Linked DNA regions of Diceros bicornis minor. The protein of the gene in region 2 purifies or fractionates together with the protein of the main gene of each other region. This does not show direct contact. Links are inferred from orthologs where the notes say so. Each region holds a gene or a part of one and is shown on either strand. Other genes may lie near its edges.

The links.
Region 1: the proteins of SF3B1 (region 2) and CWC15 purify together in Homo sapiens (co-immunoprecipitation; 3 studies listed by BioGRID and IntAct, with this or other methods). This does not show direct contact. The link is inferred for Diceros bicornis minor from reciprocal best matches to the Homo sapiens genes SF3B1 and CWC15.
Region 3: the proteins of SF3B1 (region 2) and EFTUD2 purify together in Homo sapiens (affinity purification with mass spectrometry; 4 studies listed by BioGRID and IntAct, with this or other methods). This does not show direct contact. The link is inferred for Diceros bicornis minor from reciprocal best matches to the Homo sapiens genes SF3B1 and EFTUD2.
Region 4: the proteins of SF3B1 (region 2) and SON purify together in Homo sapiens (co-immunoprecipitation; 3 studies listed by BioGRID and IntAct, with this or other methods). This does not show direct contact. The link is inferred for Diceros bicornis minor from reciprocal best matches to the Homo sapiens genes SF3B1 and SON.

Annotation. Positions count from the first base shown.
Region 1 is NC_080746.1:38,948,218-38,955,649, reverse strand, and holds the start of CWC15 (spliceosome-associated protein CWC15 homolog), read right to left. Parts: upstream 3,019-7,432; 5' UTR 2,943-3,018; intron 2,844-2,942; exon of another isoform or gene 2,639-2,843; intron 1,746-2,638; 5' UTR 1,738-1,745; coding exon 1,607-1,737; intron 1,006-1,606; coding exon 893-1,005; intron 277-892; coding exon 188-276; intron 1-187. UniProt on the Homo sapiens protein: Involved in pre-mRNA splicing as component of the spliceosome. Component of the PRP19-CDC5L complex that forms an integral part of the spliceosome and is required for activating pre-mRNA splicing.
Region 2 is NC_080749.1:75,268,760-75,276,630, forward strand, and holds the start of SF3B1 (splicing factor 3B subunit 1), read right to left. Parts: upstream 3,007-7,871; 5' UTR 1,723-3,006; intron 1,416-1,722; coding exon of another isoform or gene 1,393-1,415; coding exon 1,336-1,392; intron 424-1,335; coding exon 253-423; intron 1-252. UniProt on the Homo sapiens protein: Component of the 17S U2 SnRNP complex of the spliceosome, a large ribonucleoprotein complex that removes introns from transcribed pre-mRNAs.
Region 3 is NC_080757.1:43,343,855-43,351,702, forward strand, and holds the start of EFTUD2 (116 kDa U5 small nuclear ribonucleoprotein component), read right to left. Parts: upstream 3,003-7,848; 5' UTR 2,803-3,002; intron 1-2,802. Other genes in the region: CCDC103 (coiled-coil domain-containing protein 103), read left to right, coding at 4,218-4,360, 4,986-5,118, 5,823-6,272; Ig-like V-type domain-containing protein FAM187A, read left to right, coding at 7,300-7,848. UniProt on the Homo sapiens protein: Required for pre-mRNA splicing as component of the spliceosome, including pre-catalytic, catalytic and post-catalytic spliceosomal complexes. Component of the U5 snRNP and the U4/U6-U5 tri-snRNP complex, a building block of the spliceosome.
Region 4 is NC_080766.1:34,057,114-34,064,062, reverse strand, and holds the start of SON (protein SON), read right to left. Parts: upstream 3,004-6,949; 5' UTR 2,919-3,003; coding exon 2,842-2,918; intron 1-2,841. Other genes in the region: GART (trifunctional purine biosynthetic protein adenosine-3), read left to right, coding at 6,647-6,791. UniProt on the Homo sapiens protein: RNA-binding protein that acts as a mRNA splicing cofactor by promoting efficient splicing of transcripts that possess weak splice sites.

The DNA.
Region 1 (7,432 bases), on a different chromosome or scaffold from region 2:
ATAAATAAATATTTTTTGTTTTAAAATCAACTATAAAGTTTAGCATTGAAGTCAGGGCTACATTTGACTAACAGTAAGTAAAAATAAATACAGGTCACTTCTTAAAGCCAAAAAAATAAAAAAGGTAATTCAGGAAACACGATAAATAAATTACTATACGGAGATGAAAGGAGAAAACAAATCATACATCTGTTAGAGGATCATCTGCATCGAGGTTGGCCGCGGGAATCTGGTCTAACCGAGGCTTCTTTGATACTGAAGAGGAGGTTGTATGTTCTGGGGAAAAACAAACATCATTTAGCTTACTAAAACAAATACTGCATTTCCAATGACATTTTAGGGACCTGTGGGCACAAAGGGCTTAGATTATAAGCATCATGACAGCAGGGATCAGAACCACAGTCCCTGGCAAATAAGCCCTTGGTAAATATTTGTTGAATGAATTAATCAAAGTTCTGATTTTAATATGGAAACTGCTGCCTCTCTCAGGAAATTTAGGGAATAGTTTACATATGCTGAAAACATAAAAAAGATATTATAACCGATGCCCCTAGATGCTTTCCAATAGTCAGTAACAAAAATAGGAAACCCTCATAGAAACCACGGGGCCTCAAAAAGTTTGGCTGCTGTAAACAGTCAAAAACTTGATCTGAACTGAAACAATGGCTGCTAAATATCCCCAGATCACCCTGTTCTTTCTAACACAGAAACATAAAAAGATGAAACTGGAATCAACCTCATTTTCATCTCTAACATTTAAGAAAGTGTTACAGCTCACATCAATATTTTAAAGCAAACAAGCAAAAATACTAATCTGTTCTAATTAGCAAATGAAAGAAAAACAATTGTTGACATAATTTTATGAGACAAATGTCTGGGGTAGTGTTGATACCTCGGGTTGGACGATCTCTATTTTTTTCCCTTGCAGCAGCTCTCTCTCTCTCCTCCAACTCTCTCCTGAAGTCACGGTTCCTAACCTCTTCAGGGGCATCCTGAGTGGTCTGTCTAAAGTAGAAACAAATCACAGCAAAAATGTTACTAAGAGAGACATGGCTGTAGCAATGGAAGACAATTCACAAAAAGTAACTGTCTCCTTGAGTCTTTCAAGCATAAAAAAGAGGGAACTAGACAAGTTCATTACCCTAATCTGAAGGTTACTAACAGGCATCCTTGCGATGTTTCCAATATTTCAAGAAGCCCAAACTCCATCACATATTTTCCCATAATAAGCCTGCAGATTGATTAAAACGTCTTCACTTTTTGTTAGTGTCACGTCAACTCAGGGCCTGTTACTGTAACACTTTTAATCTCATATTGATTAATGCTGATAGTGCTTGGTCCTTCTGAGGTAATGTATTAGCTATTGTTTCATCTACATATGGAAATTCCCAGTTAATAGGAATTTCTACATAAGGAATATCTGGTAGCATTTTACAATCACAGACAGTAATTTTAGTGTTAAACATTCTATTGTATTCTACTCCTATGGAAACAGAAAACTTCAGTAATATAACCCAAACATGCTACTATCTCATGACCATGCCATTTAACAGATTTGGTCTTGCTTTGTAAACAAACAAACAAAAAAAATGAAAGCCTTCATTACCTATATTTTATCTTTGTATGAGAAGGTAGGTCTCGGCTTGAATACTGCTTTGAGAGTTGGCTCAAATCACCTTCTCCTTTTCCTCTCCCACCTCTTGCCGGTTCAAAGGTTGGCCTAGCTGCTGTGGTCATCTTTTATGCTTTGAAGAAAAATAGCATCAAGTTATTTCCAATATGACAAGCTCTCATTTCATAAAGTATTAATCAATATCCATCCTTGTGAAACATTTTCCAAAACTCATTCTCCAAAATTTAAACAATCTCAAGCAAAAGTTCTCAAGAAAACAAATAATGAGGCTCAGAATATGGCTTCTTAGGCAGCTCTTATTTAGTGCAAAAAATTCCATCATGAAGATCTGGATTTGGGTTCCTGTTCTTCTGGCTCTGTGGCCTTGGGCAAGTCACCTAGCTGAATCTGCTGTGGAATGGGATATTCCTCACAGGATTACTATGAGAATTATGAGACTTAATGTGTCAAAGCCTCGAAAAATACAGTCCTGTCATGACTAAGTTTGAAAAATTCTCAGCTCAACCTTACTCTATCAGACTCCCTAAGGTCTGCATTTTATCTAAACCTCATACAACAGAAAATAGGCTAGTAACTACAAAAACAAAAAAGATATTTAAAAAATCACTGACAAAGTTACTGAAACTGTGCTAAACTTCAATGCCAGTTACATAAGTTAAATTCTCCAACAACCTTCTTGTTGATCCAATTTTCTCCTACAGCGGCCATCATCATATACATTAGATCTTTTGTAGGTTATAATTTAAGGAATGCTCAAAAGACAGGAATCTCATCCGCAAAGGATTCTGATAAAAGGAGAGTCAGGGACCTATTCCTTATTGTTACTTTTGGTTCGGGCAGCCAAGAGAGTGCTGCCTAGCAGCTTCGTCTACCAAAACCTCGTTAGCGTCGGAAAAGCAAGTGCGTGGGGAAACGAGAGAACTGGTATACTCTACATTTTCAAAAAAGCAAAAGGGATGTAATGGAGAGACGGAGAAACAGGGTTTGCCGCCGCCTCTCACACACCCCCAGATAATACTCCTGCCTCCCGGGAGCTCGCCGCGGGCTGTCACCGGGAACTCGCGGACTCTTCCCCACGCCCGACTCCGCGGGGGTGGCGGGGCCCCGACCCTGCTTAACGCCGTCTGCAGAGCGGCCTTCACGCTGCGCTCTCCGCGGCCGGCCCAGGACGCTGGAAGCGCCCGACAGGACCCGGGCTCCGCCACCTGCCCGCCGCTCCGGGGCCTCTCCGCCGCCGACTCCAACCCCAATCGTCCTTTCCCGCCCCACTCGAATAAGGAAGACAATCCGCGGTCCTCCCGGCGCTCACGTCAGCCAAACTCCGATGCAGCAACCTCCGGAGATCATACAGACACCATTACGACTCTGAGCTCCCAGAAACCTCTGCGCCCAGGGTCAAGGCCCATGACCCGGAAACAAACTCCAAGCTCTTTAATCGCACTTCAGAGGCGGAGGCAGCGACCAATCCGCGGAGGTCAAGGTGGAAGTCGGCGTGACGACAACAGGGGGCGGGGCCGAAACGGCCCAGGGGGCGGGCGTTTGAAATCGGTCCTTTAGAGTAGACCTTAAACATAATTTTATACCCTGAAGAACCAATTACTTAATGTCTCTTCCGCCTTTTCCTTCCCCGACCCCCTCCCAGACTCCTTCATTCCCGTACTGCTGGGACGGAAAGCCCCGGGTAACCGACACCACGTCCCCGGCTAGCGAGAGAGAGCGTAGAGAAAGATTCCACCCAACCGTTTAAATCCGTCGGCTTCTGCTTCCTCTCTCCTGAGCTAGACCCAGCAAGCCTAGAGAGTTGGGCTACGGAAAAACTAGTGTTTTCATTTAATTGGATATGAAGAAAGAACAAATATGTACGGGGGCAACCACGATCTTTATAAAGGTACCATTCCTGCAAAAATATTAGCCTTCAAAACAAAGGTTGTATTCGTATTGTTCGTTAAAATTTTTATTTTTTAAAAAGCCTAAGTTCTAGTGGGAGGGGGAGATGTCACTCTTAGAGATTCGTTTATTTATTCACCCGACATCGAGCGTTTAGAACGGTGGGCCCAACTACCAGGAGCACAAGAATCAGTTATTATAAGATGGCTACTCATGCGTTAGGTGAAGTTTTAATAAGACAACGAAAAGGAAAAAAAAGCCACCAATCCTCATTTTTTTCTTCTCCGAAAAAGTACTCTTGGGGCAGGGATCTTGTTTGCTTAGTTCGTCTTAGTATCTCGTCACGTAGTCCTTGGCCACAGTAGATGCTCAGTGAATATTTGTTAAACAAAAATTCAACTCCCTCAACTTAGTTTCAAATGTAAAGAGCTCATGAAATTGAACATTAAAAGCTTTTTTTCCAGAACTCTTTCTTTGAAACTTTTACATTAAAAAAAAAAAAAGGTAGAAAAAGCCCCCCCCCCCCCCCCCCCCGTAAAGTTCAAGATGAAAATCTTTCTTGATTTTTCTTACCAAAGGTATTCCTCCCCTAGTCTTACACATCTCAGTAAAGGACGCTACTATCATACTAGTTACTCAAAGCGAAAATCCCAAGGCTCCTACTCAAATTCCTTTTCCTTCACTCTTCACATCCAGTTCTTTTGAAAGTCTTGCTAATTGTACTTTCAAGATACACCCTAAATTTCATTCTACTGCTGCTACTCTAGTCCAAGCCGCCATCATTTTCCACCTGGATTGTAATTGCCTCCTAATAGATCTTCCTGCCTCTACTTTTGTCTTACAGTCAATTTTACATATAGCAGTGAGAGTGATCTTTCAAAATTAAGAAGCAAGTAGTGTTACTTTCCTGCATAAAAATCCACTGCGCGTACAATAAAAATCAAATTTCTTTATGTGACCTGAGGCCCCATGGAGTCTGGCTTCTGTCTGCCTCCCTGACTTCACTTCTAATCAGTCACTCTCTTGCACACTAAGCTCTAGCCCCAGCCAACTGAGCATTTCTGTTTCACAAACAAGGAAAGATTCCTTTGCTCTAGCTTTTTCACTGCTGCCTGTGCCCCAAGATAACTGTTACCATCCTTCAAGTCTCAGCTCAAATGTCACCTCTTCAGTGAGGTTTCCCTGACATCTGCATTTGCACCCCCACCCGTCCAACACATAAATACATCACGTCACCTTGATTTATTTTTTTATAGTACTAAACACTCCCTGAATTTATTCTGTTCATTATTTGGTTATTGCCTTGTTTCTTGTCTGAGAGGCCGCATAGCAAAGTCCTTGAGAAAAAGGGATCTACTGCCTGATGGTCTTGGTTCTAAATTCCAGTTCTGCCTTTCCCAGCTGTGTAAACTTAGGCAAGTTATTTTCCCTGTCTGTGCCCTCAGTTTCCTCGTGCATACAATGGGGATAATTCTGGTCCCTCATGTTATTTTAAGGATTAAGTGAATTAATACTTGTAAAGTGCTTAGAACTGTCTCAGCAAACAGTACTTGCTAAATAAATGTTAGTTGTTATTATTATTAATATTATTTTTATTATTATTGTCTATCTTCCTATATTAGAACATAAGTTCCAGGAAAACAGGAACCTTGTCTCTCTTGTTCACTGGTGTATCCTCTGCATATAGAACAGTACCTGGCACATAATAGGTGCTGAGTAAGTATTTGTTGAATGAATGAATGAATGATGCACTATGAAGTGGAGGGATGAAGTAACAATGGCAAGGTGGTGACACAATTATAGAAAATACCCCTGGTTTTATGTTTCAACTGCCCTTATCAGCCCTGAGTCAATTACCCCAATTCATTGAACTCCTAGCCCACCACCTAATTTTTTGATCACCAACCATGATTAAATAACCACCCCTGTAGTTTCATTAACACCAACATATGATATAATCAGTCCACAATATCAAAAGCTTTGACTTAAATGGTCTGAAAGTATTGATAAGAAAAAGAACCTAAAAAGTTTTTACTTAAGTGATTTTAAAGTACTAATAAGAAAAGGAAACTGTAAAGGTATTGACATAGTTTGCAAGTATTAGAAAAAGAAACTGAAAATAAGCTTACTAAAAACTTAAAATTCACCATCAGCTACCTTTGCTGGCAAAAAATCATACATAACCTCCCCAAAGTTCTCATTTTAAACCCATTACTACAAAAATCTAGTTGGGCCCTTAATTCTGCCTGCTAATCCTCTTATACTCTCCTGTTTATTTTCCCATTCTGCAATAATATGTTTTCCCACATTGCCGTTTCCTCAAATCTACACACCTCTTCCACCCTCTTTTCCCTCCTCATCCTCTTTCCCAGGAATGGATGATTTCCTGACTTCTCTGGGAAGACAGAAGCTCTTCAACAAGGACTCCTCATCTGCCCCACTGGCAGATCTAACAAGCTGCCTTTGACTGTACTCATACCCCCAGCTTTCCACGTATTAGTAGAGACGAGGTGACCCAAGCCCTCTCCTTGTGCTCTGGGTCCCTATTCCTCCAGCCTTCTTAGTGGCTGGCATCCTACTGTATTTCACGTCTCTCGTAATCTATCAACCCATCCGCCAGCACTGCGTGCGTGGCCTCTAATAGAGCAGTGTAGGTCCACCCCCAGGAACCAAACCTGGGCCGCCGAAGCAGAGTGCACTGAACTTAACCATTAGGCCACTGTGGCTGGCCCTCTCGGATCATTCTTATCAGCTCTTGGATATGGTGTAGTATATCCTAACCTTAAAAAATGCTCCTTGGGCCAGCCCCGGTGGCCTAGTGGTTAAGTTTGGCATGCTCTGCCTCAGAGGCCGGGGTTTGAATCCCGGGTGCAGACCTACACCATTTGTCTGTTAGCTGCCATGCTATGGCAATGGCCCACATAAAACAGAAAAAAGGGGAAGATTGGCAACGGATGTTAGCTGAGGGGGAATCCTCCTCAGCAAAAAAAAAAAAAAAGCTCCTTCATTTTAATATGACAAAGGTATGTGAATGTGAAAAGGATGTTTTATGTAATAACTGTGATTACAAAACTAGCTATTCTTATGGCAGGTTGAATGTAGGAATTCCAGTTTCAAAACTTGCACAAACACTACAGCAAGTTGAATTAAACACCCAAAAGGAAAAAAAGAAACATAAAAATCTAAAAAGAAAATTTAAAAGACTGTTTGTACAACCTAGGGTTTGTAAAGACCTTTTGATCAAGGCAGAATACCTAAGAACTGTAAAAGAAATAACTTTAAAAATTCATCTATATAAAAATTTAATTTTATGGCAAAAGATGCCCAAAACAAAGTCAAAGATAAATGCTAGATTAGCAGGTAAATTCTATAATGCCTATAACATGTGAAAGGGTACTACTACTAGGACTACTAATAATATACATAATATAAAAAATACAAACAACTCAGTAAAAAATGAGCTAAGAATATAAACAGGCCATTCAAAAAAGCAATTCCAAACAGACAATAAACATGGAAGACACTCAACCTTCCTATTAGGAAAATGAAAGCAAACAATGAATTATCATGTTACAGCATCAGATTGGCAGGAATTTTTAAAAATTAATAATACAATTGGATGAGATGGGGTGATAAGGGGATCCAGTCAGTGGGGAGACAGTGGCTCCTGTTTCCCTCACAGTAAAAGTCAGAGGTTCTCACAATGTCCCTCAAGGCTGTCCTTTACCTAATTGATCTCTTCTCTTGCTCCTGCCTCTCTAGGCTACATGCCTTCATGGTGTTGTCTGAGCAGAGCTCCTGCCTTAGGGCCCTTGCACTTCCTGTTTCCTCGGCCAATATTTTTGGCCAGTCTTATTCAAATCTCTGTTCAGATGAGGTCAGCCAACCATGACAGCCCTGTTTCAAGTTGCA
Region 2 (7,871 bases):
TCCATGCAAGCAGAGAGAAAAGGCCATGTGAGGAAAGAGCAAGGCGGCAACCATCTGCAAGCCAGAAAGAGGGCTCTCACCAGACACCAACTGGCATCTTGATCTTGGACTTCAAGCCTCCAGAACCATGAGAAAATAAATGTTTGTTTAAGCTGCCCAGTTTGTGCTATCTTGTATGCCAACAAGAGCTGATGAATACATTTCATGAGATAAAAACATTAAAAATAGTAGTAACAAAAATTAAGAAATTACCTCTGCTTGATCCCAACTTGATAGCTTTTTAGGAGTGGCACCAGGAGTCTGATCAGCTGTTTGATCCCAACGTCGTTTTCGTTTTGAGGGAGGCTGGGACGCTGCTGCTCCATTGACGACTTTTAGTTCCCCAGCTTTAGCTTTTTCTGCTAGCTGTTGCCTAATTTCTCTCTGAAAAATATTTGAATAAGCAGTGAATATCTTTAAAACATTTTCAATTATCTTTTTATATCATTAGGACAGTCATTTCTATTTCATGATTTCACGTCATTTTATTCTTCACTCATTCTCCTTCCTTATTTTCCCTCTCTATCGCCAGTTTTATACAATGTCCTTCTGCACAACAGATGAGCAAGTACTGAATTTATAACATAAAGCACTCTACTTTATATACAGTTAGTGAAGTAAAATCTTCAGTCAACGGTAAAGATGATTCCATTCAAAAATAAAGTTTTATTTAAAACTCATATAAATAGCAATTAAGACAATGTAGCAAGATATAAGCGATAAAAGTGACTATAACTATGCAAATAACATAGTCATAACAAATGCATATTTAATTTACCCCATGATTTTAAAATGGAGTTCCACTATCCCACTTAATCCATAAAACAAACAAATCTATTATATATTCATATTAAGTTTGGAGGCTAACTATTAAAACAAGATGGAGCAATCTCTGTAGGCCAACAGGAATTCTTCAGGAATTCTCCACCCATATCCAAACTGAATCTTATGAGAGAATTAGAGGTTTTTCAAAGAATGATTTAACTATTTCACTTTTCCCTTACACACTGGCTTCAGACACACACTATCAATCCTTCCCGGATACATCCACCATAAGATACATACGTATATAGATATATAGCCAATGGACCAGGGACTAGAAAAGGATATAGAAACATGAAAAGTGTAATTTGGGAGGTGACAGAATTTTGGGTAAGGTTCTTTCTCAACTTAATTTTTATTAAGCTGTTAAAATATTACTTGTACAGCAAATAAAAAGAAAATACAAAAGTCACTCAATCTCTACTTTCTTCACTTTCTTTCACAACCATTAAAATAAAAAGCAGGTTAACATACCTCTTCTTTAGTCAAATGCTGTTCTCGCATTACATCCATGTAAGTCCTAGCGTTCATTTTAGGATCAGGGGTCTTCCCTCCTGCAGAAAAGAACAGCAACAGGACAAGAGTACAATAAATAAAAGATAATTAGGTTCAACTGATTTATCTGCCCTGCTCTAATATTATGTTATTCCATAATCATTTAATTTATTTTTTGATGGAAAACTTTAATAATTATACATCTTACTTTTTATTGAGTTTGCTGATCAATTTAACCTGTTTGAACACAAACATATCTACAGCAGTTTAAAACAAATATTTTAATGCATATGAAAACAAAATGACAGCACAGTTTAGAGTCTTCAGAAGTGATGGGTTCCTGGGTTGCTAATCCGGAATACGTACACTTTCGTGCCTTTGTCTCCATCAGCAGTTCTGACTTCAAGCAGCAGAATAGAAGCCTAGAAAATTATCTCTTTACCATTAGTAACACTTTGGAAAGATATTTATATTCAAAACATTACCTGTTGCAAGCTGTTAAAATCCTGACTACAAATAACTATGACTAGATAAGTTCCTCATATAATGTTCTAAAACAGTTATAGTTCAGAAAATCTGATTTTTAAAAATATACCTATAATCTTATTCTGATGTCATGTTACTAAAAAGGGCTTCATGCTTTTAGAGTTTTGTTGACCCAGAAACATATTTTTATTTTCTTAGAAAGTATAAATTACAACTGGAAATATATTACTTGAAATATATTACCTCTACCAGTTATTATGATGCACACAGAAGAAAAGTGGTGTACAAAGAGATGTGTTAGTCTCTTGGTTAAAGTTTCAGTATTTGTTTTTCAAACTTCAAAATATCTTAAAGAAGCCCAAACAGTATACAACAAGATTCACAGAGGCACACTAGTTTTAGAAATGTGATAATTAGCTATACAAAGTAGTATAGCATCATAATTTAGGAAAAAATAATAAAATTCTAAGACATTTCCTATGCTGAAGATCATGCCTAATTGATAGTGTCATTCTTTCTGACACTAGCTCTGATAAGACTTCCTTTGGAATACTTTTTCACCATAATCTAGAGAGGATGTGTTGAACTGCACCCTTAAGAATGCAGACAGGACTGGCATATAGCAGTACTGCTGTAGGAAAGAAATTAAGGACAGTTAGTATGGGCCTGTGAATTCTGACATACATGTTTAAATCAATTACAATTATGCAAGTAAAAAAAAGAATATCCCTACTAATTCATGCAGGCTGAAAGTCTAATTTGTAAACCTGCAGCAGAATCTAATTTTAAGAAACAGGCACCTAATTTTGATTTTGAAACTCACTCACCTGAGGAAAGCTTCCATCAGGCTCACTATGCCCCTAAAATTAGCAAAACAGACTCCAACTATTAAAAATATCAAAGTCTTTGTACACATATTTTTGTTTTAACTTTATGCTTAAAGCAAAGTAGGTGCGTTTACTAAACTATATTTAGAGCAACATGGATGGAGCTCTAATGTGAGAAACAGTTTCTCAAAAGTAACAATCCTAAAAATCTAGGATTTGGAATGAAAACTTTCAATAATTTGAAAGTATTTTGAGCAGAAAAACACATTTGTTCAAAGTATAGAAAGCGTACCCAAAACAAAAGTAAAAGAAAAACCTTTAACCCTTTGCGTTTCTATGGCATTGGCTCATTATTTTCTTGTCCTTCTACCTGGAAAGAAAACTTGCATTATAAAGAGGAAGAATATGGCATCTGTGACTTCAACCAAATCTATACAAATCTATAAGGGGGATTTTAAAAAAGAAAAGCAAATTCATAGGCATGCCAAAAAAAATCAAAGGGCTAAAGACAACTTAATACAAATAAATTTCCGAATACTTATAGAAAAGTGGGAAAGAATTACCATCTGCAAAAGGATCAAGACGCTCTGGGGAAATTATCATGGTCCGCCTGTGCTTTTTGTATTCATCTTCACGATCTGCAATCTTCGGAGGTCGGTGCTCGGCAAATGGATCATACTGAAAAGAGTTATATCTCACTTAATACCCACTTTACTAAATAACCAAACAGAGTACCACAAACAAAAATCAGAACATTATAAAACACGTAAAAATGTTTAATAAATGCCTACCTACTAAAAAAAAAATATTCTGTATCATTTTATGGATAAACGTTAATATGAGAAAATAAGGGATACGTAAATGAGACAATACACATGTCCACATTTCCATAGTTTCTTTATGAAATGATTACCTTTATAAAATAAACTATTATTTCTAATTCTCCCAAATTAACTCTCATCAAAACATTCTAACAACTTGATTCCTAAAATATGTGAGCTTCCATGAGAATTGAGACATTGTTTTCTTTAGCTGAATAAACTCTGAATTTAATAATAATTTTTAAAAAAGAGTCACCTGTTCTGTTGACTGTGGGATATCATTAAGCAATGCCACAGGGGCATGATACCCTGGCTTCTTCTGACCAAGCAAACTTGTAGATGAAGAGTAGTCATCGTCATCCTGCAATGAAATGCCCCCAAAAGCCACAAACAAAATGTCAGAACTTAAAAATGATAAAGAATACATAAAGATTCAACATGAAATCAAAAGACTTACTGACAGTGTGATTGATGTCTAAACCCTTCTTCCTAAAACTTATAAATACTTTGGTTTTCTTTTCAACTCAAAAGGCTATTAAAGAAATGAAATTCAGTTCTCTTCACTCTTTTAAAAATATTAAACAAGGCATGCTTTCTGTGGAAGTCAGTTAAAGTCGGTATGGACTAGAAAAATCTGAGCATTTTGTTTTCTCACAGAAGGCATGATGAAATTTGTTTTCCAAATTTGTAAACTACAAATAGACTATTTAGAGCTCTCTAGTTTCCTTGTTTTTTTAACATGATTTAACCACAGAAACAAGTAAAATATAATTAATTTTAAATATATTTGTTTCCCTAGTAGTATGTTCAAACACAACAATGTTAGTGTTACTTTACTACTATAAGAAGTTCAACAGTGGGTAACTCTCAAGAAGATCTTAACACCTCATTTATTTTATTTAAAAACGAAATAATTTTCCCCTCAGTTTCTGGAACATATAGCCATCACTGTCTCATACGAATAAGGTATGATAATGCAAATAGAAGCCTGATTGGCTTCTAGAAATTCTACCTTTGGGACTTAATTTTGCTTTAAAAAAAAAAAATGCCAACTATAAAATAAAATGTGGCTTGAATTTCATAAAAATAACATGTTTGATAATCTATATACATAAAATGTTTGTTACTGAACCACACAAAAATGGATAGCTATTTCACCAAATTTGTATGTTTGGGATGGTCTGACAAAATATAAGCTATGTGGAACACATAAAAAACACTTTGAGGGGTGTGTTTCAAAACGAGAGGTGATCATCCTCCAGAGTAACTAAAACAGGCACAAAAAGCCATTCATGTCGGTAACAAGAAACATTCCATTCACACAAGATGCCAAGGGGAAAAAAAAAACAGCATCAAGCACAAGTCAGAAATCAAAAGTCCTAAGGACAGATGACTTACAATGAAGTCACTTCTCACATGGGCAACTCTAGATAGAGCTCAGTAGGTGACAACAGGGATTTACTTTACAATAGTTAATGATTTGCAGGTGCTTTACTAGATAAACTAGCTTTAACATAAAGATTCAGAACTGAGCACTTCCACAAGTTTCTGAACTTTAGAGAGGAAGGACACCTTCAACAGCTTTATCCTTCAAAAGAAAGATCTCCCAATCTCCAAAATGTCTCCCCAGATTAAACCAGATGACTCAAACAGAAAATTCCTTTATATTTCTTGCTCTCCATCAAAAAAAACGCTTGACTCTTGGATACTTTGTAACTTACATCTTCAAGTTCAGTTGCAGCAATTGATGTCACATATCCAGCAAATCTGCTGTCACTTCCACCATAAATTTCCTGGTCATAATAACCTGTAGAATCAAGGCCCACTCCCTGAGCTTCATCAAGAGCTGCCTTCTTGCCTTGAATTTCTCGAATCTGTGCTTCAATATCTGTAAGAAAGTTAATATAGACCTTCTGAACTTCATTTTCCAAAGAGCACTCAACACAATGCATTTCTCTCCCAGGTATTATCAAAATACTCTTCTAAATACAGCAATTTCAAAATAATTATACCATACAACAGATTAGTAGAACTATACCAAGTACTGATTTTTAATAACATCTCCACCTCAACAGACAATACTCATGTACCGAAAAGACACTTACTATTTCATCAACTGCAAATTACTCTTACTTTAAGAATGGGTTACCAAAGTTTATTAAATTATTGTTGAATTCTAAACTTTTCCTCAACTGAAACAATAATACTGTCAATGTTGATTAGGGACCAACAACAACACTCAAGATTATTTTAACTCAACACTACTAGAAATGTGAAAACAACAGTACTATGGAGAGTGGTTATCAAACTTGAATGTGCAACAAATCGTCTACGGATTTTGTTAAAATGCAGTAAGCCTGTGCCTACTGTCACCACTCTTATTCAACATAGTACTGGAGGTTTTGGCCAGAGCAATTAGGCAAGAAAAAGGAATAAAAGGAATCCAAATAGGCAACGAAGAAGTGAAACTCTCACTATTTGCAGACGACATGATTTTATATATAGAAAACCCTAAAGAATCCATTGTAAAACTATTAGAAATAACCGAAAACTAGAACAAAGTCGCAGGGTACAAAATCAATCTACAAAAATCAGTTGCATTTCTGTATGCTAATAACGAACTAACAGAAAGAGAGCTCAAAAAGATAATACCATTTACAATTGCATCAAAAAGAATAAAATATCTAGGAATAAATCTTACCAAGGAGGTGAAAGACCTATACAATGAAAACTACAAGACATTATTGAAAGAAATCAACGATGACATAAAGAAATGGAAAGACATCCCATGCACATGGATTGGAAGAATAAACATAGTTAAAATGTCTATATTACCTAAAGCAATCTATAGATTCAATACAATCCCAATCAGAATCCCAATGACATTCTTAAGGGAAATAGAAAAATGAATACTAAAATTCATATAGGGCAACAAAAGACCCCGAATAGCTAAAGCAATCCTAAGAAAAAAGAACAAAACTGGAGGGATCACAATCTCTGACTTCAAAACATACTACAAAGAAATAGTAACCAAAACAGCATGGTACTGGTACAAAAACAGACACACAGATCAATGGAACAGAAATGAAAGCCCAGAAATAAAACCACACATATACGGACAACTAATTTTCGACAAAGAAGCTAAGAACATACAATGGAGAAAGGAAAGTCTCCTCAATAAATGGTGTTGGGAAAAGTGAACAGCCACATGCACAAGAATGAAAGTGGACCATCTGCTATCGCCATTCACAAAAATTAACTCAAAATTGATCAAAGACCTGAAGGTGAGACCTGAAACTATAAAACTCATAGACGAAAATATAGGCAACACACTATATGACACTGGTCATAAAGGAATCTTTTCAGATGCCATGCCTACTCAGACTAGGGAAACTAAAGAAAATGCAGTAAGCCTGGATCAAACCCAAGTTCCTGCATTCCTAACAAGCTCCCAGGTAATGTCCTAAACACCTAGGACTACACTCTGAATAGTAAAACAATAAAGTATAAAGTCTAAATTCTTAAGCGTGGAATTCAGAGTCCTACACAATTTGGCTGCAACCACCATCACATTAGTTTTATGATTAAGAGTCTAAGCTCTGGAATCAGAATGTCTGCCTTCAAATAAAGGCCCTTTCTCTACTAATTAATGTTTTTAAACCCATGTGTCTCAGTTTCCTACATCATAAAGTTTTTTTAAGGATTAAATGAGACAATGAACATGAAACACTTCAGCACTCGATGAATGAATGAACTGCCATCTCTCACTCCCCAAAGCACTATGTTCTACTAACATTCTGGAGATGCAGATTTGGTGAATGACATATGAACTCCTCTCAACTGCTTCCCAAACTTCCCTCCAATTTTTAACTTTGAATTTTTTCAAGATTAAAAAAAAGTAAAATATTACAATGAACACCCACATACTCTTCACCTATATTCATCAACTGTTTATGTACATAATAGATAAAGCAAATGTGTATACATATCAGTTTTCTAAATCATTTAAAATCCCTAATATCTCAGCATGTTATTTCCAGATCTAGGGCATTCTGCTATATAACCACAGGAATACTAACACGCTCAGAAATTAAACCTTAATACAATAGCATCTAATATATTATCCAGCTTCAAATCTCCCCAATTGTCCTAGTAACATCCTGTATAGGTGTTCCCTTCTTTGATCTGTGATCCAATCAAGAACCAGGCATTGCATTTAGTTGTCACGTCTCTTTAGTCTCCTTCAAATACAGACTAGTCTTCCAACTTTCTTTTAGTGTTTCTTAACACCAGGTAACTTCAAATTACAACCTAATGTTTCATTTTAATAATCTGAATAATACATAGGTAAAGTATTATTAAAGTGTAAAGAAACAAAGAG
Region 3 (7,848 bases), on a different chromosome or scaffold from region 2:
TATTCCCTAATACTTTAATGCAGGCATTAGCAAACTATGGCCTGTAGCCAAATCTGGCCTGCCACCTGTTTCCTACAGCCCCCAAGGTAAGAATGCCTTTTACATTTTTAAATAGCGGAAAGGGGCCGGCCCGGTTGGCGCAGGCGGTTAAGTGCGCGCGCTCCGCTGTGGCGGCCCGGGGTTCACTGGTTCAGATCTCAGGTGCGCACCGATGCACCACTTGTCAAGCCATGCTGTGGCGGCGTCCCATATACAGTGGAGGAAGATGGGCACGGATGTTAGCTCAGGGCCAGTCTTCCCCAGCAAAAAGAGGAGGATTGGCAGATGTTAGCTCAGGGCTGATCTTCCTCGCCAAAAAAAAAAAAAAAAAAAAAAAAGTTGAAAAAAAATCAAAAGAATAATATTTCATGATACATGAAAATTAATTATATGTAATTCAAATTTCAGTGTCTATAAAAACAGCTTTATCGGAACCCAGCCATGCTCATCCACTTATATTGTCTGGCTGCTTTCACACTGTCACAGCAGAAATGAGTAGTTGCAACTGAGCCCATATGGCCCACAAAGCCTATAATATTTACTATATTTTAGTAAATATATAGGCCCTTAATAGAAAAAGTTTGCCAACTGCTGCTTTAGTGCGTGTGACTCCTACAAACAAGGACATTCTCCTACAGAACCACAATACAACCATCAAAATCAGAAAATTAGTATTGACACATTACTACCACCTAATCCACAGACTCCCAGTGAACTTTCACGAACTGTTCCAATAATGTCCTGCACAGTAAAGGACCCAATCTAGAATCACATATTTGCATTTAGTTGTCATGTCTTGAGTCTCTTTCAAACTGGAACAGTTCCTCAAGTCTTCCCTTGACTTTTATGACTTGACACTTTTGAAGATTACAGGCTACTGAGCTTGTAGAATGTCCCTTAATTTGAGTTTGTCTGATGTTGCCTCATGACGAGATTCAGGTTATGCATTTTTGGCAGGAATATCCCAGAAGTGATGCTGTGTTCTTTCCAGTGCATCTCCCATCAGGTGGTACACGATTTTAATTTGTCCTATTAGTGGTAACGCTAACTTAATCACCTGATTATGGTGGTGTCTACCAGGCTTTTCCATTATAGTTACTTGTTTTCTCTTTGTAATTAATAAGTATTTCATGGGTTTTCTCCACTTCAATTATTGACATTCTATTCAAAGTAAGAGTTCAAATGACACTTCCTTCAAGCTTTCCTAGATCTGCAATTTCTCACTCTCCTATGCCACTATAACCTTTTGCACCTTTATCAGCATTTAATTCTGTCTTGAATGTCAGTTAACTGTACTAAATACCCTCACCAACAACTCTAGAGCTTACAAGAAATAAACAGCAGACCACAGCATGAGTTAAGGGTTAAGGCTCTGAACCTGGAAGATCTAGATTTGAATCCTAACTTTGTCACTTAATAACTATGTAACTTCAGGTAAGTTATGTACCTAATAACTATGTAACTTCATCTCTCCAAACCTGTTTCCTCAACTGGAAAATGGAGTGAATAGTCCCCATTGCATAAAAGGTTATGAGAATTAAACAAAATAGTCTGTGTAAAGAATTTATACAATCTCAGGCTCAGTAAACATTAGTTAGCATTATTTTTTGGCCATTCTTGAATTCACGAACGCTGAGTTCCTTGTGCCCACCTGCCAATGCCCCAGACAGCACCATGCATAAGAAGGAACTAGATAAATGTTAACCGAATGGACTGTTTAATTTTGAGATACTGATATTCCTTGTACTAGGCTAATCCCTCCATTTCCCTCAATGCCACCTGTTGAGTGCTGGTTGTAGATAAAATAGAGAATTAAGAGCTCCAAGGACAAGTAATTAAATGTAAATTATAATGGAAACTTTCATACACATCGAGATTCTTTTTACTTCCAAAGAGCTATCACATCTATGCTCATTTCATTCTCCCAAGACTCCCACGTAGTGATTGCAGAAATTTTTATAGAAGGCTCTTCATGGAACAAGCCAAGCTCATTTCTGCTGCTGGGCCATTGCACTTGCTATTCTCTTTGGAAATGATCTTCTCTTGGATATTTATACCTTGTTCCCTCATTTCACTCAGGTCTCTACTAAAATGTCACCTGCTCTGAGAAACCTCCTTTGTCACTCTAAAAAGTCCCCTATACACACACTCTCCAATCCCCACTTTCACTGTTTTATTATTCTTCATAACATTTATCCGTAGCTGACATATTCATGTGTTTACTGTCATCCCCCCAACTACAATTTAAGGAAGGACTTTGTTTTGTTCACTTGGAACAGTGCCTAGCACAAAACAGGACCTCAATTAGTATGTGTTAAACGCATGAATGACTCCAACAAGGCACAGAGAAGACAGCTGATTTGTCCACAGTTGCATAAAACTAACGACTTGCGGTACCAAACCTCACTGCTGCTTCCCGCTATAACGCAGGCTCTCAACGGAATACAGAATAAGGACAGAGGGAGCTTGGTAGAGAAAGGGTGAAGGCGGAACAGATGGAAAAGGGAGTGAGAGGGGACTGGACAGTGAGAGCACGACCCCTGCCCAGGAAAGGGGTTTTACGAATGAATGATATCGAGGGAACCGCGGAATTGGGGTGCGTGTGTGTGTGGGGGGGGGTCCTTTCTTTCCCTTTCCCGCAGAACGCCTCCATTTACCCATCTGTAAATTGAAAGAATCAGATAGCATATAACGTCTCTTTCAGATCGGACATTATTTAATTTCCCATCCCACTTCCCATGCGGTTGACCCGCGCCAGCTCACCTCCCGACCGCTTAGCCAAAAGCTCCAAGTCTGCCACCGGAGACCGCGCTTCCGCCCCACGCCGCGGCAATGTGTGCGCCCGCCGTCCAGAAGGACCCCGCAGAGGCCGCCGTCGCGTTTCTGCCTCGGAGGACAGCCCTCTGCCTGAGGACCAGCTCGGAAGAATGCCGGCCGCGGACACAGGAACAGGCGAGGTGGAGTTGTGGGCCCCCAAACCAAGGAGTGGGCTGCTCCCAAGAGAGTGAGGGCTGAGCAGGCCTGAATCTGATCAGGCGCCTTGGGACCACACTGAAGGGGGCCTTCGGGTCGATCACGTGAGCAGGCTGTTGGAGCAGTTGCTGGGCAACCACAGCTGCTGGGCGTGGTCTACACTGAGCTGTCCTGTTCTCGCGTATCTGGGGATCTTCAAAGAAAGCAAGGGAATCAAGGCCAGGGCTGGTGGAGTGAAGGTCAGAGGGTCGGAAGAGTTAGTTCTATTTATTCAATGACTGGGGAGGGCTCAGAACTGGACAGGAGCCAGGACACTTGAGTTCAGTTCCTGGCCAGCCCAGCGCCCTTCTTGGTGTTCAGCTTACCCACTTTGGGGTGGAGGGAAAGGGCTATGGGGTTGCTTGCAGACCTCCTGCCTCCCTGCCCTAGGGCCGTTGATGATGACTCCGCCACGAAATCTAGCTCAAAGCACCGTGAATCTGAGGTTCAAAGAGGTCTCACAGCAAGTAAATGCCAGAGCCAAGACTAGAACACATATACAGGATCTCCCTGTAGAAAGGATCAGTCAGCCTCAGATACGTGCAGGCTGCAGAAGTACAGGGGCAGAACTAAAGAGGTTGCTCAAGTACCTAGGGACTTGTGCTGGAACCCTGGGCTGGACAGAGGGATGTGGGGACAGGGATCATTAAGCCCCTTCCTCTGCCTAACTTCTACTTGATTTCCTGCTTAGTCATTGCATCTGGTTTGGTTGCAATGTATCTTTCCCAGATAAAGACGGTTGAAATTTTATCCCAGGGCTCAAGAGCGGCTAGCAATAGTTCTGCTTTTGTGTGAGGTTCTCTATCACAACAACTTGCTATAGAATGAACCCATGTGGAAGAGTTAGTGGACTGAATTCTGAGATCCAAATACCTCCTCAGCCAAGCATCAAAATTAAAGTATTTTTAGAGGCAGAGATGAAAATTAAAGCAAGGCTCCAATCTGAAAGTCAGGACTCTCTATTTTCAGTGACAGCAAGTCTTAAGCAAGTCCTCACTGTGCAACTCAGCTCCCCTCTGTAGAGAACTAGATATTTGTAACACTCCCCAAGATAAGTGACAAGATATCCAGAGTGGTTTTGGATCATTTTGTGGGCTGGCAAAGACTTCATATGTACCCTCTTCCCCCTGATATTGACCCTTCTCTGATGTCCCTTTGCACAGGCCATGGAAAGAAATGACATCATCAACTTCAAGGCGTTAGAAAAAGAGCTGCAGGCTGCACTCACTGCTGATGAGAAGTACAAACGGGAGAATGCTGCCAAGTTACGGGCAGTGGAACAGAGGGTGGCTTCCTATGAGGAGTTCAGGTTGGCCTAATGCTGTTTTTCTCAGGCCCTCCTGTTATGGTGAACAGTAGTGGATAAGAGCATGTGATTTGGTGTCAGACAATTCTGGGCTCAGTCCTGGCCCTGCCTTCTGCTACCTGTGTGATCTTATGCAAGTTATTTAACCTCTCTGAGCCTCTATTTCCTCATCTGTAAAAGAGAGTAATCATTTTTATGATTAAATAAGTTATTACATGTAAGATTGTGAGCACAATGTCTGGCACATGGGAAGTGCTCAAAAGCTGTCAACTATTGTTGCTGGTGTTATTACAGTCATTCTTTGCTGAACAATGGAGATATGTTTTGAGAAATGCGTCATTAGGCTATTTCATCATTGTGCGAGCATTACAGAATGTACTTACACAAACCTAGGTGGTATAGCCTACTACACATCTAGGCTATATGGTATTAATCTTATGGGATCACCATTGTGTACGTGGTCCGTCGTTGAATGAAACGTCATTATGCGGCACATTATGATTGTATTGTTATTATTGTTGTCATATTGGTGTGCCAACAGGTTCAGCCTATATCACGCAAAGTCCAGCCACCTCCCATACACAGACAGCATTAGGTCCATCCTCTGATCTGTGTCTTTTGCTCATAGGGGTATTGTCCTTGCATCACATCTGAAGCCACTAGAGCAGAAGGACAAGATAGGAGGAAAGAGGACTGTGCCCTGGAACTGTCACACTACTCAGGGAAGGACTTCCCAGGACGAGACCACTGAAATCTCCCAGGTAGGTGAGGCCCAGCCTTTCAGCCCAGCTGGATTCTCTGCCCTAAACCTCCAATCCTGTCTTCTTACAACACATACTTTTTCCTTATTTCTCATGTTAAGCCAACAGAGGCAGGTTTCTGCCTCCAATCCCAGAAAGAAAAGCAACTAGTGGATGGTGAGGCTGAGTTAGACTGGGCAGAACAAGTCAGAAAGGTGGGCGAGGCAGCTCCCTTCCATCAGTCCTTTGACTTGCATTCCCAGATCAGATTTGGGTTGCTCTGCCTCTGGGTTATATGGTGTATAGTATAAAGATTCTGTGGCAGTGTTGGGAAGGAGACCCAGCCTGTCAGATTCTTAACACTCACCTTGAGTTCCTTTCTCTCTTCCTGAGGTTTCTGATCATCCCCTACGCCCTGTTCCAAGTAAACCCTCACTTACTCTCCTAGAGCAGGGCTATGTCTGCATTCATCAGTAGGAAAATCCTGGTACAACTGAGAATCTCAAATCATGGCCTGGGTTCCTTGGGACCCTCCTGCCCTGTCCCCTTCCCCGTTCCTTCCTCTGAAAATGAGGGACCACCTCTGAAAAACAGGGACCACAGCCTTCCCAGTGCTCAGGGAGCAGTACCAGAGCTAAGATGGAAACCTAGAGGCTCCCCTCACTCTCACTGTTGCGGAACAGCTGGAAGAGCTCAGGACTCCTTTTCCTTCCTTTGTGATCCAGAACATACTCCTCCAGCCTGAGACCTCGGCAGACTTCTACCGTGATTGGCGGCGATACTTGCGGAGTGGGCCAGAGCGCTACCAGGCCCTGCTGCAGCTCGGGGGTCCAAAGCTGGCCCGCCTCTTCCAGACGGATGTGGGGTTTGGACTTCTAGGGGAGCTGCTGGTGGCACTGGCCGATCACGTGAGGCCGGCAGACCGGTCAGTGGTGCTGGGGATCCTGCGCAGCCTGGCCAGCACCGGGCGCTTCACCCTGAACCTGAGCCTGCTGAGCCACGTGCAAAGAGAGAGCTGCAGAGGCTTGTTTCAGAAGCTGCAGGCCATGGGCGCCCCCAGACCCATGAAGGAAGGGCTCAGCCAGAGGGAGTGGAGTGTGGAGGAGCTGCCTGCTGGGCTCCAGGAGGAGGAGAGGCTCCTCCAAGAGCTGCTAGGGCTGTACCAGATGGATTAATAGGACCAGTTACCTTCAGAGGCCCCCAGTGCTCATTGGAGGACTTTTTTGGTTGTTGTCTTGGGAGCTCTGCAGGACTGTAATGAGAAACCCACACCTAATTCCCTTCTCAACTTGGAATTTTCAGTGCAAAAGCAGGAATCGAATCTTCCCTTCTTCTCCAGCCCTGCGGTGGCTCAATATTCTGAAGTGTGTAGATCCACAGGATGGTCAAGGGCCCAAGAAGTTGAAAGTGTTTTGCTTCTCACCCTTACTGTCTGCCAAGCCTCTAGCCCTCAGCCCTGAGAGATGGGTGTGTGCCCAACCAAATGCTGGCTACACCCGTTACAGCCTCCACTCAAAAAAACGGGAAAAAGGAAAATCATTAATCTTCCATGGTAAACAAATACTGATCTCCATAGCTCTTAACAAGAATCTTTATAACTTAAAACCAATGAATGGACATTTAATCCACAAATGATCAAAGGGTACCCCATTTGAGGTGCAGTATTTTTTCCCCAGGGGCTGAGTTCCTTTGCAGGCTGGGCCTGGGAAAGCCCCAAGCCATTAGCTCAGGTCTGGCCAGCTTCCCAGGCTTCTTCAGGTGGCCAGATGTGCAGGCCGGCGGGTTTCCTTCAACTCCCAGATTAACCAAAGGGAAGACCTTCCCACTAGGTAGGCAGGGCAGGGCCTGGAGCAGAGAGGCCGAGATTTCCTGTCCTAGCACCTGGGCCCTTGCTTCTCATTCCGGTTTCCCCTGACCCATTCTTGGGTGAGTGCCAGTGTTCTAGAAAGGGGAGAGAGGGCCAGGTTCTAGAATGGCTTTCCCTCCAGATCATGCCTGGAACATCAGAAGGGTGTCTTGTATATCAGCTGGGAATAAATTGCCTTGCTTTTGGCTGCTTGCTTTACAGATTGTTACTTCTTTTCCTGGCTATTTAACTCTTTCCTCATATAGATGCCTCCTCCCAGCAGTGATTTCTAGAAGCCCCAAAGACCTTTAGTGCCTGGTTTTGCCTGCCCTCTCTGACCCTTCCCTCCTGCAGGCATGAACCTGGCCCACACCACTGTGCTCCTGTGGACGTGGGGGAGTCTCCAGGCCTTTGAAATTGTGGAGAAGGAGAACATTTTTCAGAGGACCTCTTGCCCGGCTTTCCTGATGTTTGACAATGCAGCCTACCTGGCCGACATGAGCTTCGAGCTTCCCTGCCACTGCAAGCCAGAGGAGGTGTCTGCTGTCGTCTGGTACTACCAAAAGCACCTAGGTAGCGGCCACACCAAAGTGCTGACAGACTTCGATGGGCGGGTGCTGACAGAGGAAGCCCAGGTGCGTGTGGGCAGTGACATGCTGGTCCGCTTCAGCATCCGCATGTTCAGCCTGTTGGTTTTCCGGGCCCAGCCTGAGGACTCTGGCTTGTATTTCTGTGGCACCCGCAAGGGGGACTACTTTTACGCTTACGATGTGGACATCCAGAGCAGTGAGGGAATGGTGGCCACTTTCAAGGACCAGGGCCAGGAGCCCTTTGAAGACGAGTACCATGGGAGCCTCCATGTCTTCACCACCTTCTGGGAGTGGACCCCCTGTGACCGGTGCGGG
Region 4 (6,949 bases), on a different chromosome or scaffold from region 2:
AGAAAAAGTCTCTGAACAAATTTATAAGCTCATCTTTTTTTTTTTTTTTTAATAAAATTCTCCCAGAAACCTAAATTGATTTAGATTTAGGTTACCTGCATATTTATCTCAGGGAAGGAAAATTAAGATTGCCATCTCAAATCCAAAGAAAAATATATGACCTAACATTATGGGAGAAGCTATAGCCACGATAAAGCCACGCCTGTGCACGGATCATAATCAGTATCAAGGAACACAAACACATTAAGTAAAAAGGGTAACTTGCAGCCTCTGATCAGGTTTAGACTTAAGTTACTGAAATGCCATAAACTTTAAAAACATTTTTATCCAGTTATCAAAAATCCTGGGATTAAAAAAATTCCTGGTGTTCAAAAAAAATTCATGTAAAACAAGTGACAATTCATTATACTAACAGTAAAGGAATGAATGGCTTCACATATTTTCAATTCACAGAGCCAGAACAATCTTGACATTTATTTACCCAGTCATTCTTACTATTTTTGCTTACATTTACAAAATTGTTTTGAAAAATAACTTCAACAATTTAACTTAAATTTTAGCTAACAAAACAGACACAGCTAACAAAAACTTATGCTTCCAATACCTGATAAAAGCCTGAACAGTCAAAAAATTTAAAAATTCAGTATTCAACTAAATGTTATTAAGGAACAGTTGGTTTTCTAATATAATGAATCATATAATAACAATGAACATTTATGGACCATTAATTAGTGTCACCCAATTCTACATTTTAATAACTCATTTAATCCTAACAAAACTCTAAGATCATCATTATTACTCTCATTTTATAAACGAGGAAAACGAGGCAGAGACAACAAACCTAGCTGAAGGTCACATCTATTAAGAGGTGAAACTGGTATTCAAAACCAGAGCTCATATTCCTAACCCCCATCTATATATGATAACTATCTAAATGGAAGTCTCCTTACCCAAACTGATACATATAAAAACAGGTGGGAAAAAATGCAAATATAGCTCACTGAAATGGCAAATAATCAAAAATTTGTTTTCAGACTGGTAACATATTACCTATTATTTAAGAAGCTGAGCATTCCTCTAGTAATAAATTGCTTTAATATCCTTTTTAGATTTTCTTTCCAGAACTCTTCATTTTACACTTTTCTTAAGCACTTACACATACATAATTACCTCACTAAAAAGGCCAGTCTATGAGAAAGTTATCCTCTTAAAGCTATCAGAATGTTTACCTCAATTGCTGAAAAGGGATGAAAATTTCAAACCATCTAACTATCCATCAATACGTTCCTACAATAGAAGTCTAAAGAGCCATGAAAAAGTCCCAAAAGACTACTAAGACTGTAATAGAACACAAACTTGTTCACCATATGTATATTACGTGAAAAAAAACAACACAAAACACGATCACATTTCTCAAAACATGTATATGCAACTGTACGCAAAGGAAAAAAACGAAAGGACATAAAGAGCATCAATATAATTAATTGGTGGATTTTTATTTTCTTTCTCCTCTTTTTTCTAAATTTTCTACAATGAAACTCATTTTCTATTACAAAAACTGATTCTTAAAAGGAATAAAAACAAGGCATTACAATAAAAAAACACAACTACTTATTGCACGCAACTATTAAAAAGTTTTCAGGAAAATTATATTCCCTTAGCTCAGGTCTTTTCTCATCAACCTAAAATCACTAGCACAAAAAAATTTTTAAAGCAGTGAAATGAGTGAAGAGATACACCTTCCAGTTAAAAAACAATATATCCTGCAAGAATAATAATTCCAGCAATACTACATCATTGCCCCCAATAACTCTATGTTAATTTGAGTGCTTAATTTACAATTGCGTTTTCGGCTGATTTTCAAATTCACGTATTGCTCTTGCTCTCAACTTTTAAAAGACAACTAGCAAAAACATTTGAACTCGGAACAAACAGTTACGTTATTATACAAAGCAAAAATACTAAAAGACAACCACTGAACGACAACATGATCCACGCTATTCTCCCTACTGAGGAAACAACTATTTCTTCGGAAATCTCTTCCCATTCAAATTTGGGGAATCGAGGATAAACTACGTAAATTCTAACAGCAAAGGCAAAAGAAACGTGTTGCTCAAATATGTCACTTGGGGCAGGGGTAGCAAAAAAAAAAAACTGAGACCTACACACAAACCCCGCTTTCCACTTGGTAAATTCAGAAATCACTAGTAATTCCAAGTCCCCTTCCATCCCCGCCTGGAATATTTCGCCAAAGTAGCTAACGTGAATCTGAGCCGTTTTAAATTGCTAAGCTATTAGAACGCGGCCTGGTGGAAGCCACTGGACACTAGGGCCCAAATAATCTAATTAAAGGATCCCGATCCCCAAATGATCTGCAGCTTGCAATAATAAAGCGGATTTAAGATTACCCAAGAAACAGCCGTTAGAGACCCTTTCCGGTCAGAGGCACCGGCCGGCGAGAGCCGCGGAGGCGGGGAGGGGGAGGGGGACGCGGCGGCGGCGGAGGAGGAGCCGAGGCAGGAACTAGGCCCGTCCCCGGCGGACACCCAGGCCGCCGAGGAGCCAAAGGGTAGGGGATGACCAAACCGGAGAGGAGGGCGAGCATCGTAACTCGGTTCTAGAAGAGGGAGTCTGGGGTTCCCTGGGAAAGGGCGAAGTTCCTGGCTGGGAAGGGAGCGAACGGATGGGGGGGGAGGGCCCGGAAAATGGATCCCAGGCCCAGGCGGGGCTGTAGCGGGGCCTGAGGCGAGGAACGACGGCGCCTCAAAAGAGAGGTGCCATGGAAGGCTACACGGCGCCCTATCGGTCCCTTGGGAGCAGAAGAGTCTGGGAAACGTTTACCTGGAAAGTTCCTGTTGAATTTCCCGGAATTTACTGACCACGAAAGACCTAAATATCTGCTCGATGTTGGTCGCCATGGCGTCCGCTCCGTTCTCTCAACTCCTCCTCGCTAGTCCTCCAGGCTCCCAGCATGCCTCGGGAGGAGGCGCAGAGGCCAATTCCGTCTCTCGCCGTCCTGATTGGCTCCTGGGAGAGCGCCCAGACCGGCACGTTCCACCGCTGAACCAATCAGTGAAGACGGCTCCGCTCTCCTCCGCTGTTTCTGAGCGTCTGGGGTAGAGCTGCTGACGTTTGCGCCGCGCACGACTGTGTCCGCCATGTTAGTGACTGACGCAGGCGCCATTACAGGAGAAGTCTCTGTTGAGGGAAGTCTGCGAGCTTAATGTGTCAGTCCCCAACGGTGTTTGGGGGACTTAAGAGGCTTATTTTAGCCACCGAACGCCCGAGATTAAATGTCAACAGGAAAGGGAGCAAGAAGGGCAACATGGTGTTTGATACGGGCCCCCCAACATTCCCGGGTGGCGCCAAGTTGAGTTTCAGCAGGGAGATGCGTCCGGAAAAGCATTAATCAGCGCCCGCCCCCACTGTGGTGCAAATACGAAGAACACGCTTTCACCCCATCTCTCTCGCAGGGGATCCTATAATCGGCTTCATTTCCTTTTTTTCTTTTTTAAGCAATAGGCGGGAGGTCCTGAGCCATCTGCATTCAGAGGCTGGTGCATTCTAGTCCCGTCAGGCGCCAGGCGTGTCACGAGACTTGTACGCGCTGCCTGGTCAGTTCTGCCTCGTTAGCAACACAAGCAGCTAAGCGTGGAGTTAGCATTTTGGCGCTGCCCCTCCTCTGAGCTTGGGAGGCTCCCGAGAAGGAACAGACACGCTACGTGGGCCTGATCCTCTAGTGTTACAAGAGAAACGCGCCAGGGTCTGATAGCCTTGCTCTGGAGTAGGCTCAGGGCGCGCCCGGCGCGGGAGGGAGTCCCACTTAACCCCGTCTTAGCGGGAACCAGGGGCCGCGCCGACCAATGGGGAGGAGAAGCCCCGCGGGGCGGGCGGGGAGGCGCGGGCCCGCATCCGCTCGGCCGACATCCGGCGCGGGCAGGCGAGGCGGGTGAGTGCAACCTGGAGACGGCCTTGTGTCGGTGCGTAACCCCCTCCGCTTTTAAGTCCATTTATGCTTTGGTTGGGGGCTTTAATACCAGGCATCGAATGAAACTGTAGGAACTGTTCGGCTGTGGGGATTGTCTTATTTTTAAACGCCGTGGGTGGTGGGGGGTGACCATGTGCTTTTCACTTCTTTGGACTGAGGTTTCCATTGGCTCTGTCACTTTCCCTGCTTTCTAAGATGTCGGGACCTTTTTGTGTCTTTAGGCTTTTTTTAGGTCGTAAACCTCAATTGCGTATTTTCTCGTTATGCACCCACTGCCTCCAGCAGATTATTTCGTCGACTTTTGGAATTGGTTTCTGCTTTATATCATTCACCAAATCTTTTGAAATGGCTTTGCCTGGATCTCTCATTCTCGTTATGTTACCCATTTAGGTGACAGAGGCCTAAGAAGGTTAATTAAGTCCCTCAAAGTATCCTAGCTTAAGGGGCAGAGTCTTGGCCCAAAACAAGGCCTGCTCCCCGCTCCTGAGGTAGATTCCTTCCAGCTGAGTCCTAATGCTATTTCAGTGATCCACTTTACTAACCAGGACAGTTTCCCTTCCCTGCCCCTCGTATTCCAACTGAACGTAATATTTTCTCCAGGTTCAAAGGTATGTTTATTTCAGATATTTTAATACACGTGTCAAGTCTGTGCTTTCCATTAAACTAAAATAGCTTGTCCCCCTCTGAGAGGGTAATTTAGCAGGGTTTTTTTCTCTCCTCAAATTTTCAGTGATCACCGTCTCAATCGTTAGGGTATCTGAAGCAAAACTGCATCCGTTGGAATCCAGGCTCCACCCCTTACTGGCTCTAGTGACCTCTAGCAATTTTACTGGACCTCGCTTTATCTGTAAAGTGGAGATGGTAATAGTATCTACCTCATAGGATTCTTACAAAGATTAAGTGACGTAATTCATGAAAACAGTTTAGAATAGCATCTGGCACAAAGTAAGTGCTCAAAAAGTGTTTTTTATATTATCAGGTTAGATTTTTCTTTAAATGGGTAATCCTATCGTCTCATAAGTTACTGATTTCAGTCTTCTTTTTCCTGTTATCAGTTTGCCTTCTACATAAATGTCTTCTGAAAATTAGTAAATTAATGTGACAAATTATTCATTACTTTGGCTTTTTTTTTTTCCTGTTAGAACTTCTTTCTATCCGTAGAGTACTATCAATTTAGGTAAAAGTAATAAATAAAATATAGCAAGTTAGCGTTTACTGCTGCTGAGTGTCAGAAATTGCACTAATTGTTTATAAATGTCATTTCAGTTAATCTTAAGTAGCCTCATAAGGCAAGTTCTCTTACTTCCATCTTTTAAGATGTGAAGAAATTGAATTACAGATAGTAAAAGCTTACTCAATGTCACACTGCTCACTTGAGTTGAAAGAGAGTGCTATTGCACCCATCCTGCTCAGAATCATATGCCAGAACTAAAGTGAGATGTGTTCAGATTTGATTTTTGACTTTTCTACCAATTTTCTAACTTATTGCACTAATTTCTTAAATCAGGGGTCAGCAAACTACGGCCCTAGTGCCACATCCTTCCTGCCGCCTGTTTTGGTACAGCCCACCAAATAATGATAATTTTTATATCATTAAATGATTGGAAAAAAAATAAAAGGAAGAATGATGTTTTTGACACATGAAAATTATACAAAATTCAAATTGCGGTATCCATAAATAAAGTTTTTTTGAAACACAGCCATGCTTATTCTTTACAAACCTCTGGTAGCTTCCTATTGCTTAGTGCAGACTGTGACCTACAGGCCACTGCCTATGTATACTGGACATAGCATCCATTTATGTATTGGCTGTGGCTGCTTTTGTGCTACAGTGACAGAGTTCAGTAGTAGTTACAGAGATTATGGCCCTCAAAGGTGAAAATATTTACTATCTGACTTTGTAGCCCCCAGTCTTAATATTGCCTCCAATTTATGATAACTTTAACGTCTATTATCTATACGATCTCAAGGTTTAAAAACAGTTATTTCGGGGCCAGCCCGGTGGCATAGTGGTTAAGTTTGCGCGTTCAGCTTCGGTGGCCCAGGGTTCGCTGGTTTGGATCCCAGGCGCGGAGCTACACACTGCTCATCAAGCCATGGTGTGGCAGTATCCCACATGCAAAAGAGAGGAAGATTGGCACAGATGTTAGCTCAGGGACAATCCTCCTCAAGCAAAAAGAGGAAGATTGACAATGGATGTTAGCGCAGGGCCAATGTTCCTCACACACACGAAAAAAGTTATTTCAAGTTTTGGGTCTAAATTTAAAACATCAAGATTCATTTTTAACTGAGGCTTGATGATTACTAAATCTTCTAAAGGAGAAGCCCAAGGAAGGGTGATTATTCATAGATTTTTTTTTTTAACAGGTAAAGAGCTAAGTCGCTGTTGCATTCCTTAACCTAGCTGTCTAGGCCCATCTGCCTCATTTTTAAAATACCTCCCTAATCATTATGAGTACAGTCATATTTCTTAAATTATGAATCCTAATTTTTCACAAATAAATTGTTGGAATAAAATGTCATTGTATGAATACAAATGACTACGTAAATCATGTTTAGAAATCGTGACTTCTGAAGTATGTGCATTCTGAAATACCAACTGTGCTTTTCTTTCTGCAGCTTTCATTTTCCTTTTGAATTCCTGCTTTGCAGACAGCAATGGCAGCTCGAGTACTTGTAATTGGCAATGGAGGAAGGGAACATACGCTGGCCTGGAAACTTGCTCAGTCTAATCATGTCAAACAAGTATTGGTTGCTCCAGGAAATGCAGGCACTGCCTCCTCCGAAAAGATGTCAAATACTGGTAATTATGTTTTAAAGTGGGGAGTAATAGTTAATAATTGTAAATGATAAATTGTCACCTACATCTGTTCTTTATAAGGTCACTTGCTATTCTGATTTGAATACTTTTCCTAACCTTAAAATTTGTGTGGTAATTTGAATACTTGGCATATGTTGTAA